Linked DNA regions of Drosophila melanogaster. Changing the gene in region 3 together with the main gene of any one other region gives a genetic interaction. Each region holds a gene or a part of one and is shown on either strand. Other genes may lie near its edges.

What was found.
Region 1: of Sp7 (region 3) and Spn77Ba, changing one suppresses a phenotype caused by changing the other (phenotypic suppression), as found in Drosophila melanogaster (one study listed by BioGRID).
Region 2: of Sp7 (region 3) and Fadd, changing one enhances a phenotype caused by changing the other (phenotypic enhancement), as found in Drosophila melanogaster (one study listed by BioGRID).

Annotation. Positions count from the first base shown.
Region 1 is NT_037436.4:20,314,948-20,321,602, reverse strand, and holds Spn77Ba (serpin 77Ba), read right to left. Parts: upstream 4,414-6,655; 5' UTR 3,831-4,413; coding exon 3,815-3,830; intron 3,220-3,814; coding exon 2,790-3,219; intron 2,733-2,789; coding exon 2,462-2,732; intron 2,406-2,461; coding exon 2,037-2,405; intron 1,979-2,036; coding exon 1,712-1,978; 3' UTR 1,487-1,711; downstream 1-1,486. Other genes in the region: Spn77Bb (serpin 77Bb), read right to left, coding at 31-334, 402-562; alphaSnap (alpha soluble NSF attachment protein), read right to left, coding at 6,056-6,205, 6,300-6,620.
Region 2 is NT_033777.3:22,032,562-22,037,056, forward strand, and holds Fadd (Fas-associated death domain), read left to right. Parts: upstream 1-1,893; 5' UTR 1,894-2,001; coding exon 2,002-2,721; 3' UTR 2,722-3,056; downstream 3,057-4,495. Other genes in the region: CG6015 (uncharacterized protein), read right to left, coding at 1-198, 259-737, 803-1,520; CG45099 (uncharacterized protein), read right to left, coding at 1,521-1,625; pit (pitchoune), read left to right, coding at 3,274-3,454, 3,515-3,736, 3,946-4,495.
Region 3 is NT_033777.3:7,757,503-7,764,646, forward strand, and holds Sp7 (serine protease 7), read left to right. Parts: upstream 1-2,283; 5' UTR 2,284-2,421; intron 2,422-3,234; 5' UTR 3,235-3,684; coding exon 3,685-3,772; intron 3,773-4,504; coding exon 4,505-4,891; intron 4,892-4,954; coding exon 4,955-5,063; intron 5,064-5,132; coding exon 5,133-5,419; intron 5,420-5,532; coding exon 5,533-5,837; 3' UTR 5,838-5,924; downstream 5,925-7,144. Other genes in the region: CG10919 (uncharacterized protein), read left to right, coding at 768-1,072, 1,125-1,247, 1,977-2,112. UniProt on the Drosophila melanogaster protein: Serine protease that, by cleaving and activating prophenoloxidase (PPO1) after immune challenge, plays an essential role in the melanization immune response to septic wounding.

The DNA.
Region 1 (6,655 bases), on a different chromosome or scaffold from region 3:
AGCGAGGATGAATCTGGCTCTGGGTCTTACCTTCCATTTGGCCTTAAAGTAGCTAACAGTAATCCCCAGCACAGTTACTGTACTATTGAACGAACGACGGCTATAAGAACTGAAGATTTTCGCATGAGAGGCTTTGTCGATATCGTCGTTGATTATTATACTCGCCCCCTGGTCGAAGTCCACACCCCTTGGCCGACCCTCTCGAAGAACCACATTTCCTTCTCCTACTCCTTCTAGGACTACACTGTTGTACCCTTTCACGAGTTCTAAATCTCCTACGTCGTCGTAGTAAGCGTAACGCAGCGAAAACAGTTTTGTGTTTTCCGAATTTAAACTAGAATTTAAAGAAAAAGACATTGAAAATTCTAATAGATGTAGTTTCTGAGTAATGTGGTACTTACTAGTGATAAGCTCGGACATCCTCGTACCACCTGCGCAGTGTTGGATAATCGACATAGATCCCCAGGACATCGCGCAGCTCATTGACGGTATACCCTTCTGCTCCCTCGTAGAACATGATCATGAGCACCATGCCAAAAAGCCCCAGAAATCCGAGCTTCATATTGTCAACAAAATTTACTTGGCTAGACCGATAAGAAATATTTCAGCTGAAGCAAAAATATCATTTACTTTTCTTACCTCTTTGTGCACCCGAAGACTACTCAAAACTGTTTTTTTATTTACAAAAAACTATATTTATATGATTTACTTTCGTTAATTTGTGGAGTTCAATATTCCAAGCCATGTATACTTTATTTTTATGTTCCCGTTTTTTTGCACGTGCCTTGCATTTTTTATATCAGTTACTCGTAGATTTTGTCATGAGTATGTAAAATAAAGTAAAAAAAGTAAAGTAAAAAAATGTTTCAGTAAAGAGTTTTGTTAGTAAAAACTTCCAAAAAACGGTCCTTCTGGCGGCACAAGCACGTTTAATAGCTGCAGCTTATGTTTCCTTATCTTCGTATTGCTTTACTCCTTCGTATACCTTCCGTATTTTGCGATCTGGAGAATAGTAGTGGCCAGGTCACGCTATTAACGTTTTAGCTCGAAATAAAAGACATTGCTAATCGACAAGGAATTGAATCAAACAGATATTTTAATTTTGGGAATACGGACTCCAGCTCTACTCTTCTCCCACTCTATCGACCACAAGTCGGTCAAATCTGGCAAAATTTCTGAAAGAGAACGATTTTTTTGGATTTTTTTAGTTTCCTTATCCATAATATCCAGTGACATGGCGAAGGAACACCAAAAGTGCCCGAAGTTGTTCAGACCATTCAACTAATTTGCAGCTGCTAATTTTACAGTGTTCATTACAGCAGTTTTTCAGCTGTACTACGCGTTTTATTCGATATTTTCAAAGATTTTCAAAGCCGCAAGAGGGCGCTGATGTAGAAAGCTTGGCATCAGTAATACCAAGATCGTCGCGTAAATTAATATTATTTATATTCTTTAATAAGAATACGTTAACAACTTTTACATGTGACGAAAATATAGCGGTACAGTGAGACTTCCCCATTGTGCTGCTTACTTGACGTATCCTGACAGATTTTAGTTCCTGGCCGTGACGTTAGAGGAATCTTTTGGGCTGCCACAGTAGTACAGAAGTGGTACATGAGGGAGTTGCAAGGATCCGTAATAAAATTCCCCCTTTTGTCTTAACGTAACGTATTTATTGTGGTATGTGAGTAAAGTGTGAGTCGGTGGACTTTTAGGCCGCCTTGGGATTCCGCACTTGTCCGGCGAAGAGGAGAAGTCCGGTTGCCTTCTCTACGATCATGTACTGGAAGGGCCGGTTGAGCAGGAACTTGGGCGGTGTGGCCTTGTTGGCCAGCGCTGCCTCCGTGACGGCTCCCGCCGTGGTTCCCTGTTCGTCCACAATGATCTTGGTTGAGTGGACGACCAGCTTGGCAAACAAGCCGGAAGACATTCGGTCCAGGTTGGCTGTATTCTCGTCGAACAGATCGCGAATGCCCATCTAGAATTAGAAGTTATTTACAAATGTATTTCCAGATTGGATTTAGAAGTTCTGTCACCTGGATGAGGACTCCCTTAAGAGTGAAATCTGTGGCAGTCACAAACTTGGGCATCATGACCTCCACTTCGTTGTCCTCGGAGGCCCTGTTCCTGAATGCCGCCAGTCGCTGGAGGATGGGCCTCAATCCCAAGGCCTTCAGATTATTGGCTACGTCGTTTAGCTTGAATCCGCGCTTGGGCAGCACCACGATCATCGCCAGACGATCCTGGGTGCCGTAGGGCAGCTCCAGCACATAGCCATCCAAACCCTCTACGTTTGAGACGTAGGCGAAGTTCGCTTCCTGCACCATCATGGGAATCTTTCCAATGACTTCGCCGCTCTCGCTGAAAAAGGGTTCCTCTCTTGTCAGCGTTTTGTTGAAGGGAAACTGCAAGCGAAAACGATATATCGAAGGATTTGCAAGTGGACAAGTTCACTTCCCACCTTCCATTGGCCCTTGAAGTACAGAGACGAGAGCAGAAACATCTTCGCTCCATATACATCCTGTGGCAGAATGGTATAAGGAATCAGACCGCGGGTCGTGCGATTTGTGTCCTCGTTGATCTGGATCACCGAATCCGGGCTATAGAAGTCCACTTCCATCGGCTGGACATTGTAGTTTTGAATAGCATCGCGGTAGTTGTTCTTGATGGGATACCCCTTGCCGGTGTATATGGCCTGCAGGGTGGCTACTTCGATGGTGGAAGTGGTGATGCTTAGAAGAGGGAAGGGGGTCACCGCGATCCATAAATATGCAATCCTATAAACTCACTTCAGAAATGAGCTCCAAACCTTGTAGGCGCCCCGAAGCTTTTCGTCCTCGACATTGATCCGCAGGCTTTTTTTCAACTGGTTGCGGGTCTCTCCCTCGGATCCCTCGTAGAGAAGCACCAGGAGTGACCAGACGGAAAAGGGCGATATCATGAAATCCTTGTTGGCCTTCTCCACTTCAACGGATATGCGCTGCAGGAGATCGAGGGCGAAGTCCTGGACCCCCTGCGAAATGCTGACCAGGACATCCGTGTCGAAGTTGCTTCTCATGGACTGGATATGGCTGACGCCACTTTGGAAAGCCGTGGGAGCTGTGAATGCGGTAAGGGGATTGCCCACTGAAAGCTGGAGGGGCGCTTGGTTGTTCTGAGGATCCGCCGAGCACAGGAAGATGGCTCCCAGGAGTAGTGGAATCCATAGCATCAGGCAATCTGGATTAAGATGTGCATTAGAACGTCATTTCATTAAGGATCATGATGTTAAAAGCCGCACTAAAATTATTGTATTATTTTACACCAACATCATTTTAAAATGCGTTAAAGATGGATAATTTTATAAATTTCGAGTTAAATAATCATTTTACGGTAACTGTTTTCCATCGGAATATAATTTTATTATTCATTTCAGAATGTAAGTTTAAACCATATACATATGCAGTTAGCCAATTGTCCTTGAACTCCGTATGAGTTAAACCAACAACTCGATTTTGAAAAACTGCCTGAAAATCCGGCATAGCTATTTCCGGTCTAATCAAATCGAATGAAATTCAAAGGCACTCGCGTGAGTACTATGTACATATAGTATTCCCAGATGCGTAAAAATAAGCATTTTCCAATTGATAGCGATGATCCATTGACGACCTCATGTGTTTGTACGTAATACAAAATGTATATATGTATGTACATAATATGTGTTTGCTGTGCACACACGAGTACTTGTAAATTTTAAATCTCTTTATTGATTGCCTCTAAAACAACATCCCCGCCTCTGGGAAATATTCCATAATTAATTGACCACGAAGCTTACCTGCGATTTTACCCATTTTTTGTGGCTGCGATCAAGAATTGGCTCAAGCCTCGCTTATCAGGCCTTCAGGCCGGGCTTTTAATATTATTTATAATTGGGCCTTCAGGCAGGGCTTTTAAAATTTTTATAATAATTGCGCACACAAATGAATCACACTTTTGCTTAACCATGTGGGTGTGCATCAATTATTGAGAGGCTTTTAAACCTTTTATTGATGTATTTTGGGGTTTTTCGATGTTGACAAAGCGACGTTCATCTATATGTCTCTATACACTGTTGTCGGTCGGTGTTATTCGAAAACCGGAATGCACTGAGGGGAATTCCACATATATTATGTATACAAATACACGCTCGCAAGGAGACCATACGTACAGGTGGGTGGGGTGTTCGCGTATGCGGTTGCCGCTTATATAATTCTATATATTTATTTCAATTTGTGAACCCAGCTACTGGTGGTTTTCGGTTTTGCCAAGATTTTGATGCCAGATCGAACCCACGTCCACACAACTCCCCACAAACAATGTCAACCTAACGCACGAGCATCAGCTGAGTGACTGAGTGACTGAGAGACTGCTCCATCGACCATTCAGCACCGTACTGATATGGTCATCCCATCCCACCGCCACCGCCATCGTCCCACAGCCGGGTCCAAATCAGTTCAGACTCGGATTCAGATGCGAGAGCCGCAGCGAGAGAACGCGGTATTGATATTGGCAGACCTTTGTCTGCCGCTCTTGACAATGAAGCCTCATTCGCGAAATGGAAATCAGGTGGAATCACTACTATGAGTTGCAGCTAATCCGATGGTGAAACTGGTTGAAATGCCGGGTTAACTCCAGTAACTCACCTTTAGATCACATCTACATCAACTGTGCCTGAATCCAAGATATTTTAAAAGGTAACTACATGTATTCAAATGTATATGCAATATTGTAAGCTCGTGGATGGATGGTTAAGATGACATCAAATATGAGCTGTAGAAGACATATGCAGGTAGCTCTCAACTGTGTTTTATAATCATACAAATGAATGTTTTCAATACCAGTAAGTTTACAAGTGCAATAAACAACAAACTTCAAGGTAAAAAACATTTTTTTTTCCCAAGTGACAGGTGCAAACTAATGATATACTAGAAAGACAATGCTTATGGATGGACTGGAATATATGCTAGGCACCATTTTAGGAAACATCGATGGATACGAAGAGAGGATGACAGGATTAATCCAAGCGTTAACTTTATTAAAGTATTTGAATTGGAAATATCCGTGGTAACGCTTGCATAGAGGCATTACCAGGATCTTTGCAGTATTAATAATTAAATGTGTTGGGTCAGGTTTCAGTGGTGTTGTGTGTTTCCTGGAGATCTTCATTCAATAAATTCAATAATTGATTTATTTATTCTTGCTTCGGCCTCGACGACCGCGTAATCTTCGTCGCTCCGTCGTAATATTATTTATTGGATTATAATTCGCTCGTACATGTTGATCTACTAAACATCGTTAAAATTTTGCGAGATGGAATTTTCTATAAATGTGACCCTCAAGTATTTATTAGAATTCCGTGTACTTTTTGGATATTTATCGGGGTAATCGGTAATGTTTATGTGGACATATATTTTATTTGTAGGTTGTGTATATGCGTACAATCTAAACTTTAGGTTTAATTTTATTTCAGTGCACTAAATGGAATTATAATTGGTTTGAAATTCATTTTCGCTACCAGGGACTCTTTAGTTAATCTCAAAATTATCTAACACATTACACACATAGAATGAAGTTCTCAATTTATTATAGTAGTGGATACAGATTTCTATAGGGTACTTTACGCATCCAAATGGAACATCAGCTAACCCACTGATTGATTGGCTACTTACACAAATAACAAGAGTAACGCAAAAACAGACAAACATAAGTAACACCTCTAATCACTCCACATTGGAAATAATAAAGTTTTTCTTTTGAATAGCACGTGGTAGCGCAATTTGAGCCTCGGCATCTGCTGCCTTCTTCATTCGTTGCATAAACGTTAAATTAAACTCTAGAATACGGGAATATAGACTATTCCATAGGTTTAATTCACGCGTACAAGCTGGCCGTCGTTTGGGTGCTTTCAGGTTAAGCAATGCAACACGTTTAATAATTTTCTTTTAGTTATATATGTATAGGTAGATTAATATCCGAACCGAATAAAGCATTTAATAAATGTGTACGCGATTTTATCCGAAAATTTAATTGATTTCGTTTATCGCAGATCGGGATCCTCGTCCGCAGCCTTCTTGATCCGCAGCAAGATGGTGGTGTACCACTGATCCAACCGGGAGATGCTGTCGTAGTCCTTGACGGCCTCTGTGAATCCCTCGATGTTCTGTTCCTCTAGATTCTCGCACAACACCTGTAATTCGAAAAGCGTCTTAAAGTAAATATCTGCGAAAACCAAAGACGACACACACACACCAAAGATAAAACTTAAGCAAACTGATACCCACCTTGATGAGCTTGAACTCCCTGGAGTCCTGGAATGCTGGGTACTGCTGCGCATACTTTTCGATGGCATGCTGGGCGTTCAGGAGGTCCACGCTGAGATGGCATAGAGCGGCCCTGAAGAAGTACTCCTTGGCACTGTACTTGAGCAGAGAGCTCTCCAGCGAGGAGGCGGCCACCTGCTCGTATATGGATATTGCTTTCTCGTAATCCTCCAGTTGGGCGGCGTACTGGGCCACCTTCAACATGCACTTGTTGGCCGAACTGACCGACTCTTCACCCTTGAAGTAATCAGCCGCCTGCTCATAGTGCTGAATAGACTTGGCCTGAAAGGGAAATGGTCCATTAATATGTAATTAGC
Region 2 (4,495 bases), about 14 Mb from region 3:
TGTGACCGCCGGCATGGAATGCATAGTGGGGTCGGCAATGTACTTCATGTCCACAGGAATGTCCCACTCCCATATGCGCATCGATTTGTCGTCCGAGGTGGTCACAAACCGTCGGTTGTCGTCCACAAAGGTGATGGTGCTCACAGATCCCAAGTGCCGGTCGTATTCCTGTACAATATCACCGCTGCGAGTGTCCCACTGCGAATTGATAGGAAAACAATTGTAACATGAGCATCTACTTTTGTAAATTTTACTTACACAAATGATCTTCTTGTCGGAGGTGCCGGCAACGAACAAATGTTGCTTGCTATTATCCGGATGGAATTTCACACAGAAAGGCATTTTACGCGTTGTGAATCGGGACACTACATCGCCCGTTTCGGCATCCCACAACTTTATGTAGCGATCATACGAGGCAGACAGGAAGTTGGTACCCCTGTTGTTCCACGCAATATCCTTGATGGCCTGCCGGTGACCGGAGAAGGTGCGTATGCAGCGTCGCTCGCCGTAAACCTCCCACAGTTTGACGCGACAGTCCATCGATCCGGAGAGCAGAAGATGAGCGGTCTTGGGGAACCAGCGGATGGAGGAGATGCCCTTGTTGTGGCCCGACCAGGTGTGTATGTGCGCCTTGGGCAGAAAGCATTTGGTCGGTGGTGCATTCGATCGTAGATTCACGCCCAGATCATGAGGAGCATGCAAATAAGAGCGGCCCTGATAGTCGTACGCATCCTTGACTGTGGAGCAAAAAAGGAAAAGATTATTAACGATATATATTCGGTGGCTATTGGATTAAACTCACTGTGCAGCGTCGACTTCTCCTCGAGCGGCTTATCCTCGGGAATGCGTCCGCGCTTATGTCGCTTAGACAGCAGCTCGTCCAGTTCGGCGCGCTCCTGTTCATTTGGCTTTGCCACCGACACCTCGTTTTCGAACTTGCCCCAGGGACCCAGAAAGCCCTCAATGTCCTCGGGATTATCATTTTTCTCCTGCTTGCGCAGTTTCTTTGCCTTGGGCGGCTCAAATACCGTCTTGCCATTGTCATCGTACGCAGACTGCAGGTCACCCACAAAAGACTGGCCGTCCGCCTGATCGTCTACGCTGGGGTCCAATGCGTAGCCGTAGGTGTGAAAGGTGCGTCGCTGGTTCTCAAATTCGAAGGCATTGATGTGGGCCTTCTCTACGTAGCCGGCTAGGGTGTTCCGCGGAGCGCGCTGCTGCATGGTGAGGTCCGGATGCTCCGGACCTTTTACCGGAGCATACATCTCCTCATAGCGCGGATTGTAGGTTACCTCCTTGAGCGTGGGATCCAGAGTTCGGGGCACGGCCGATGCTCCAAGGGGAACCACCGTTGGCGCCGCACAAACAGCAATGGACTTGGATAGCGAGTGTGTCTTGTCCACGGGCAGCAGGTGATCCGGAATGGGAGCGGAGGGCTCTGAATTCGTGGTGGCTGTGGCGGCGTCCGCATGGTCCGATTCTTCATCCGAGGAACTGGCGTATGACTGAAGGCCCAACATTTAGAGGCTGCGGACGAACTCTGTGTACTTGTTAACGAAATGCTGAAGGTAAATCAAGACCAGAGTGTAGAGGAGGAATACGAAAACGTTAATGGATATTTCCATTCGTCTACACGTTTGCGTTTATCATTAGTTGCTTCAGTAAAAGTAACAAAAACATAAATATATATCTATCAAAACTAGGGATGGTGCGTGCCATCTGTTATCGATGTTATCGAATGGCTATGTAACGGTCTCACTAATAGATCCCAAACATGCAAGGTGGTGCAAGTTTAAAGCTTATTTTAAATTTTTTAAGTTGTATGGAAATAGTATTTGATATTTTTTTGCTCATTTTGCTCAAACACCTATTCAGTGCTGATCGATAACAGGTAAGGAAATGTTTGGCCATACGGTCATACTACATCAGGGAGTGAAGTTGCGTTGATACATTTTGGGAACTTAAGACCGCTGAAAATACCGTCTCTGTAAATTAGTCACAATGACTGCAGGCAGGCACTGGAGCTACGACAGCCTCAAACAAATCGCCATTGATGGATGCACCGAGAACGTGGAGCAGTTGAAACTAATTTTTGTCGAAGAGATTGGTTCGCGACGCAGATCGGATTGCATACGAACCATCGAGGATTTAATTGACTGCCTGGAACGAGCGGACGAACTATCGGAGTACAATGTGGAGCCACTGCGCCGGATATCAGGCAATATGCCACAGCTCATCGAGGCTCTGAGCGCCTACACAAAGCCGGAAAACATTCTTGGACATCCGGTTAATCTGTACCAGGAACTCCGATTGGCCGAGGAACTTCGTCAGCAGCTCCGTATTGCTCCAGCTTCCCAGAATGCTCAGCCATCAGTTTCGGAATTAGCTGCCGCTGTGCCTCCAACAGCAATCCAAAACTATGCCACCCCAGCTGCTTTTACGGATCACAAACGAACGATGGTCTTTAAGAAAATATCCGAGGAACTGGGTCGCTATTGGCGACGACTGGGCCGATCGGCGGGCATTGGCGAGGGCCAAATGGACACAATCGAGGAGCGCTACCCGCACGACTTGAAGTCCCAGATTCTGCGACTGCTGCAGCTCATCGAAGAGGATGATTGCCACGATCCCAAGCACTTTCTGCTTCGTCTGTGTCGCGCCCTGGGCGATTGTGGTCGCAATGATCTGCGCAAGAGGGTGGAGCAGATAATGTCGCACTAGAACGCATTCACTTATATGCACTTTATATGCATTTTGTTACGATACTAGTAATTAATGTGCTGGAGAGCGACAAAGATGTGCCTTTATTGTAATTATTCACATGTTATTCCAAGGTTGGACAGAGCATAAAAATCGCACACTAAATTAATATGTGTCAACGCGGAATTGTACGATCTTATAAGAAAATGTGATTGACGTATTCCATTCAAAATGGGAATTCACATTTCCTTATCATAAGATAGTCTACAAAAAATATTGTTAACTCGTAATACACAAGTCACATAGTTGAAGATAGCAATGTACAATGGATATAAAATACGTTTTGCAAACGCTTTTGCTTCTCTTATCCTCAAAAGACGGTTGAAAATTTGTTTACAAATAGGGTCACACCTTTTGCATTGAACTATCGAATTGGCAATTATCGATAGGCACAGCTGGCTGAATATCGTTTGCTTCGGGGTGAATGGTTAGCAACACGTGCGCGCAATATTTTATTTGAGAATTCTGTTTTTAACCATTAAACTCTATTAAAAAGCATACATAGTTAGCAATATGTCTATTCGGGAGAAGCTGCTGATGAAGAAGATCGTTAAGCGGGAGAAGATGAAGAAGGAGCTCTCGCAGAAGAAGGGAAACAAGAACGCCCAAAAGCAGGAGCCACCCAAACAAAATGGCAATAAACCCAGTAAAAAACCGGAGAAACTCAGTAAAAAGCATGTGGCCAAGGATGAGGGTACGATTAAAAACGTGTGTGCCTAATAAATATATGTAAGATTCACTTTTCGACCCGCAGATGACGACTTAGAGGAGGATTTCCAGGAGGCGCCGCTGCCCAAGAAGAAGCAACAAAAACAGCCTCCAAAAAAGCAACAAATTCAGGTGGCCAACTCGGATTCGGAATCAGATGACGATGAGCAGGAGGATGAGGCAGATGAGGATAGCGATTTGGACGAAGTAGCCGAAGTTGATGAGGAGGATGTTGACAGCGGGAGTGAAGATGATGACCAGCAGGAAGGTAAGTAAAAGTGTCGATATTTAGGGAATTCGTTCTAACTACCAATAATAATGATGATTTTTAAAGGCGAATTTGAGCAGCTCTGGTGCAGCGAGTTAATGTTGCCCAGGGCAGGCATGAAATCCATTTAAAAACCAACTGAATTATATAAAATACTAAAAAACTGTATCCCTGTGAAAACCAAAATTAACCAAGAGTACCTGTTTCAGATGAAGATGAAGAAGAACCTGTGCCAGCCAAGAAAACGAAGTTGCTTCCCAACAAGTCCAAGGCACAGAATGGCAAACCAGCTAAAGACGACGAGCCCTTTACCGTGGAATCCTCACTGGCTGCACTGGATTACCGAGATTCGGATGATCGCAGCTTTGCCTCTTTAAAGGGCGCCGTGTCCGAGGCCACATTGCGAGCCATTAAGGAGATGGGTTTTACCGAGATGACTGAAATTCAGTCGAAATCGCTGACACCCCTACTAAAGGGACGGGATCTGGTGGGTGCTGCCCAGACGGGTTCCGGCAAAACCCTGGCCTTCCTGATACCCGCCGTCGAGCTGATAAACAAGCTGAGGTTTATGCCACGCAATGGTACCGGCGTGATCATCATCTCACCTACCCGAGAGTTGTCCATGCAAACTTTCGGTGTGCTCAAAGAGCTGATGGCACACCACCATCACACTTATGGCTTGGTAATGGGCGGCTCCAATCGGCAGGTGGAGAGCGAGAAGTTGGGCAAGGGCATCAACATTCTGGTGGCCACACCGGG
Region 3 (7,144 bases):
TTGCGAAAGTTGTACTCGATTTGTGTTCTATTTTAGTGCTCCTGCTCGTCCTCTTCTGCTTCCATTTACATCACTACTTATGGCAAGCTGCATCGCATGAAATGCAAATGTTTATCTGCAAGGACTCAAAGTCGCTGGGGATGAACATACAAATTTCATGGTAAACTCTCTGATCGCTCCTGCAATTGGGATAAAAGGAAGCAAGGATTCATAGTTCGAGATACAAAAATTATCTAATCAATTCAATTTGGAAAGGTTCTTAAAAATGACGTAAACGTTTAATACCCTTTGTTAGTAAGCCGATTTTATTTTACAGAAAAGATAACAAGAGCAAATTGACGGCATATTAGTTTGGCATGTTTATGTTGATGAATAAACCAATAATAATCATTTCAACGTAAACCAAAAATTACATACAATCAGATTTTTCAAAAAAAAAAAAAAACAGATAGAAACATATTCATGTAAAAAAAACATATAGCCAATAAAAAAGCCGAACAAAACGAAGTTCGTCACCATTCCTAATTAAGAAAACAAAAACTTTATGCTGAGCAACTTAATCATCAAATGTTAATGTCATCTTGAACTAAAAAAATGCCAGTTTTGGCTTTTATCAAAATTATGAAAGTGTAAACAATCACTGCTTTAACTATCATCTATAACATTTATTTAGACCTTAACCAAAAAATATATTCACAAATTCCACAGAAGTATTCAAAATAATAACTCATACACGTAATACCCGGCACTTCAATACAACATCCAAAATGGAAGCCGCCAGTGAAAGAAAAACCCAGATTATGGAAAAGAGGAAGCTCATGGGCGACAAGAGGATGAGCATGGGAATGAAGTCCTTCTATGCCTCGGTAATGGGAAGCATTTTTCGTATGAGCGATGAGCAGCGGAACGCGTTTGCAGCCATGTATAGGCGCCACAAGGCTGACGCACAATATGTTAACAATAACTACGTTGATGATCCCGTGGAGGAGTACGTGCCTATTTATCAAACCGTATTCGATGACGACCGGGATCCCGTGCACGAGCCCACATTCTCTAAACACCGCATACCCCTGTAAGATTTCCAGCCAAACTTGTTACGGTCAAAATACTTCTTATTTCATTAGTCAGATACGTTGTCTGGAACGTTACCACAATTCCAAGCGGGAGTACGCCGATCAGTTCAAGCGGGAAATCAAACTTCTGATCGACAACCAGTCCACGGCGCAGGAGGCTTGGCAATTCGTAAGGTAAGCTGAAAATCTAGATTTAGTTACGCTTAATAATAGGTAATAGGTTTGAAAAGTAACAATCCAATACTCATTTGATTAAAGCACGCCTTAGGCAAACCCTTAATTGATCAGCCACTATTCGTATTAGTTCTCTTTTAATTTAGTCCTCACTATCATTTTTATTTCGCTATTTTTAGTTATAAATAAAGATAAAAGGATTAGAACCTGCTTCCAATAGAAATCGGTTCATTGTTCGACTCCCAAGTAATGTTCTCAGTTCAAGCTTTTCTTCATGGGTCACTTCAATAGATTTTATTTGCTTGTATTTCTATATTGTTTTTGACAATGCTGTCAAGAAAGTGTTGGAATTTATCCCTAGCTCTCCCACTAGCTGAGTAACAAGTATCTGTTAGTCGGGGAAATCGAGTATACCGTTCTCTATTTTGTTATTGTTGTTAATAGAAAAGAAGACGTTCATTGTGCGTTTCGTCACAATTTTTTCGTCAAAGTTTTTAATGTATTGTGTTTAGCTAAAATAGTTTTGAAAAGAATAGATCAAAAACATATTCTTTAGCCTCAGTCACTAATAATTGATAAAACTAAAGATTTTGAATTCAAAATACTAAAAAGTTTTTCAAAGTTTTTCATTTCTTTTGAGCCATATCATCTTCAATTGACAATCATTAGAAACCGTAAATACCAACTTTTCAAATTACTTTACTTATTTCCCTTTTGATTTTCTTACAGAACCATGGCCTATACCACACTTTGGCCGCCGCTGCACACAAGAAAAGAGCTCAAGATTTTCGAATTGGACTTTTGCAAGCTTAACCCTCAAGAGCAGAAGCGCTATAACAAAATAATGGCGACCAACTTTTCTTAGTCTTTAAGTTTTAATATATAAAATTTTATAATTTAAAAAAAAAATATATAAAATAATAAAAGCAACAAAAGTGTTGATGAAAACAATATCGTTCTGGGAATATAATAATTATCGGAAGCCCTCACAGTATTTCAGTATTTTTTATATATACTTTAAAGTCATTTAGTACGGCAACGTTACTAAAAATGGCGTGATTAACAAAAACGTGATAAGCAATAAAAAAAATATATCAAACGAAGTTTTTTCAGATTCCAGATTAATACACGCTTCCTTAACTTTGTAAAGGTTGTAAAATATGATCAAGTTTTGGTAGGTATGAGTGCAAAAATAAAATGCTGTCTGATCTTAACCAAAAGCCTTTTGAATAAAAAACATGAAGACTGTGCAAAAATGTTAAATTTTGATGCCACTTGTAAACATGTGCGCATTAAGGAGGGTGTTGAAATAGGAACTCAAAATCACGAAGGCACTTAACAACGCAAATAGTGAAGCTATTTAGTGAACACAGACTATTATATGTGACATAACAACCGGAAATTGCAGGATGATATGAAAAAGGTAAAATGCAACAACAAATACAGATAATCAGTAGCAAGAAATCATCGAAGTGTAGCACGGCAAAATAGGAGTTGACATGTATCTTTTAAGAAGACCTACCGAAATTTCAAACATCTTGATCCAGCCGGCCAAAACCGCATCTCTGTGCAATAATTCATCGATCGTGTCAACAAACTAGTTAGTGCCTACCAATGGGTCGAGAAGTCTCTACTACTTGCAATCTGTTCACGACACGAATCCAGCAAAGATGTAGCTCGATTCGTCTCCTGTGAAGCGTTGCAGAAGTACATTTCAATATGGGTAACGCCTGTTGTGACTTGAGGTATCTCGCCCTTCCATGACCAAAGGAGAAAAAGAATCCATGTTGTGAGAAATTTCAGAAGCCAAATAGAGTTTGCAAAGCTACAAATCTAAGTGGATGAGTATTTAGGAATTTTACATATGAAGACATTGTTCATCGGGCTGGATCACTGTTGAGGATCGACTTACAAAGCAAATTTTTGAATATTTTTGAATACATTTCACTACGTACAAAATATATACATTTAAACATAATATTTTCAGAGCGAGGCTGTTTTTGGGTCCAGCAAAAAATAATCTAAAAATGTTTTGATCTGTAAGAAGTACGTGCTTAGTGAGGTCTACCTGTATATAGGATCTGTACACTCTAGGGAGAAAGCATCAAAATCCGAGTACCAAAGCTTTTCAAAAGATCTCTTTCTTAGTTGTGATAAGCTCGGCTCAAGTCTCTTGATGGGCTTGAAAGCTTTACTCACGGCCTCTCTGGGACAGTATCTCTCAACGACGAATCGATTATCATCTGCGATCGCATTTAAAAAGTCTCTCGCCCGTTAATTCGCGATCAGTTGTCTCTGCGTATCGAAGGCGTTCGTAGTTTAATTTCGCTCTTCACGGTTCTCTGGTTCGAGGTCGACGCGCGTAATCGCAAAGACGCGTTCTTATTAAATAAGCTGTGAAATTTCTTATTAAAATTGGTGGGAAATATCCCAGAAGATGAAATCAACACGCAAAGTAGTTGGGATTTTTTTGGCCACCTGCCTGCTGCCTTTCACCGTTCTACAAAATGTTGCGGCACAAGGAAGTAAGTACCGAGCTATAAATATGTGATTCACTCAGAGCTGACTCATTAATTGAGACCGGTACTTATCCGTGTTAAGCGCAATAGCTTAACAGAATTCAATGCGGTTATCAGACTTGAACTTGAACAAATTTCCCATGTCAATGACTTAATTGAGCGCACTCGTGTATTCTTTCATTCTCCTCAATAAATTTTATGGGACCACTCGTCAAACAACATATTACATTATCAAGGGATTTGATTGATGTCAAAAAATTAATCGTATTTTTTATTATCAAGTAGCAACTCCTGACAATTTTAAATATCGTTCTTAATGCTTGTGTTCTCAAAAACGAAACATAATTGAAATAACGTATAAGTGCAATTTAAATGTTTATTAAACATAAACCAAATTCTTAATAGGATTTTTATAATTTGAAATTAATTAAGCTGCAAAATTAGGTCACTAATATTGACTACAATTATTGATAGCATAATCAAGCGAATTAAAATGTTTAATGAAGTCGTTTTTGACTTAAGTGTTTTGTTTTAATTCAACGACGTGCTGATTGATAGTATTATTGCTTAATTTATTTAAATTAAATAAATATTTATATTTAATTTAAATAGCTTTATCAGCAGGTTGATTTCCGAATTCAAAATTTCCCAAGTTGCCTTCATGTTTTATACCACTCTTAACTCATTTTGACAGGAGTAACTGATCTTCCTACTTGTGTCTTTAATTGTTATGTGTAGGTTGTAGGAATCCCAACCAGAAACAGGGACAATGTTTGTCCATATACGACTGTCAAAGTCTGCTTTCCGTGATTCAGCAGTCTTATGTCAGCCCGGAGGACAGAACCTTTCTTCGAAACTCACAGTGCCTCGATGGAGTAGGTCGCCAGCCATATGTTTGCTGTACAAGTGATCGCAGCTTTGGATCCCAGGAGGCCACCTCCGCAGCCCCTCCTCCAACGACTACCAGTTCAAGTTCACGAGGTCAAGACGGTCAAGCGGGTCTGGGCAACCTGCTGCCCTCGCCACCCAAGTGCGGGCCCCACTCCTTCAGCAATAAGGTCTATAATGGCAACGACACTGCTATTGACGAGTTCAACTGGATGGCACTGCTTGAGTACGTGGATAGTAAGTGACATCTTATATAAAATCATGTAACTTTAGTTAACGCATCTTTATCCATGTTGATAGACAGGGGACGGCGGGAACTCAGTTGCGGTGGCAGTTTGATCAACAATCGTTACGTTCTTACCGCCGCCCATTGCGTCATTGGTGCGGTGGAAACGGAAGTAGGTCACCTGTAAGTATTTACGTGGTTTGATGTTTATCCACGTTTTTAAATAACTAAATGAGTTGTGCCCCTATACAGAACTACCGTTCGGTTGGGGGAATACGATACCAGCAAGGACGTGGACTGCATAGATGACATTTGCAACCAGCCCATCCTACAATTGGGCATCGAACAGGCCACTGTACATCCCCAATATGATCCTGCCAACAAGAACCGCATTCACGACATTGCCTTATTGCGATTAGATCGGCCCGTTGTGCTTAATGAGTATATTCAGCCGGTTTGTTTGCCTTTGGTAAGCACACGAATGGCAATCAATACCGGGGAGCTCTTGGTGGTCAGCGGGTGGGGCCGAACCACAACAGGTGAGTTTGGATATTAAAGATACTTATATTCATTCTAAAGATATCAATTGAAGCTCTTGACCAAGAAGAATCTATAATTTCATAACTAATTGATTCAAATTCTTATTCTATAGCCCGCAAGAGCACCATAAAGCAGCGATTGGATCTGCCGGTGAATGACCACGATTACTGCGCACGAAAGTTCGCCACGAGGAATATCCACCTGATCAGTTCCCAGCTCTGTGTTGGCGGGGAATTCTACCGCGACAGCTGTGATGGCGACTCCGGCGGACCGCTGATGCGAAGGGGTTTTGACCAGGCTTGGTACCAGGAGGGCGTGGTCTCCTTTGGCAACCGCTGCGGACTAGAGGGTTGGCCAGGTGTCTACACTCGGGTAGCCGACTACATGGACTGGATCGTGGAGACCATTCGTCCCTGAGCAGCGGAACGAAGGCCGCTTTTGTTCTGATAATGTTTTAATTAAAGTCAAGTCGAGAGTGCTCTTTGGGCTGGGCGCCCATCCTTTAATTAACTTGCATTCAATGTGATTTTATCAGCTGCACTTACCACGCTGCGTATACTTAATGCGCTTACAGTCTAGCGCCGTTTGCGGTAATTAAAATCGCTGTTCCCCACTGGGATGGGATGGTGAGAGTTCAGTGGAATAACTTTCAAGATGCGGGCCAACTTGCCCAGAGGCACCTTCTTAGCGCCCCCAGCTATTTTCTATGCAATTTGGCAATGAATTTCTATTATGGAAGCAGTGCTTTTCAGAGCTTCCGGCGCTCCATCCGCAAAGTTTTCACTTGTTTGCTGGCTGATTGCACTGAAGGCGTGGCTAGGCTGGAAAACGAAGTAGACAATGGCTAGGCTCATTAATTGTGTGCACGCGGAAAGGTTAATGATGCCTGCAGGAACCGGTTAGCACGGACAAAGGGCTTGGGTTTCTTTACCAAATTTACAGAGTCCACATAACAGCTTTTTAATGCGGATCCAAATACAAGCGCAAGAAGTAAACGAGGATCGCAAAGGAATTTCAAACAACTTAACATATATATATAGTTGTTATAGTTTTATATAACATATATAGTTATAGTATATCCATCTTTCCTTCTTAACACGATGGATTTAAAGACGGCCGAATAAATGAATAAATAAATCCGAGCCCTGATAACCGAATCCCATCTCTAGTTGGACATACGCACTGTGTAAGAATATTTCTTTATTTTTTCTTTTATCTTTTTTATATTTTATTTTTGAGAAAATTCATTGCGTACACATGGAAAAAATGGATCGAAAGCCATTCATTTCCTTAAACCTATAAAAATTTGGATTGAAGACGGAAAGAACTTATCTAATAAAATGTTGGTTCTTGGAATAATTAAAAAAATCTGTATGAATAAACCACGAATTGGTGTTATTCTGAGTACAATACTTTTTTATTTCAGCATAATTAAATACGTTGATTCAGTTATATTATCATATATAAGTAATATATATATATATATACATTACATTTTAAAAAGATAACGTACTTGAAACCATATCCACTTATTATAGAGGAACTAGTATGCATGATTTGTTATCCCCGTTACTCGTAGAGTAAAACGGAACACTAGACTCAGTGAAAATTATGTAACAGGCAGAAGGTAGCGTTTCCGACCATATAAAGTACTTATATTATTGATCAGCATCAATAGCCGAGTAGAACTGGCCAAGTCCGTCTCACCATCCGTATGAACGGAA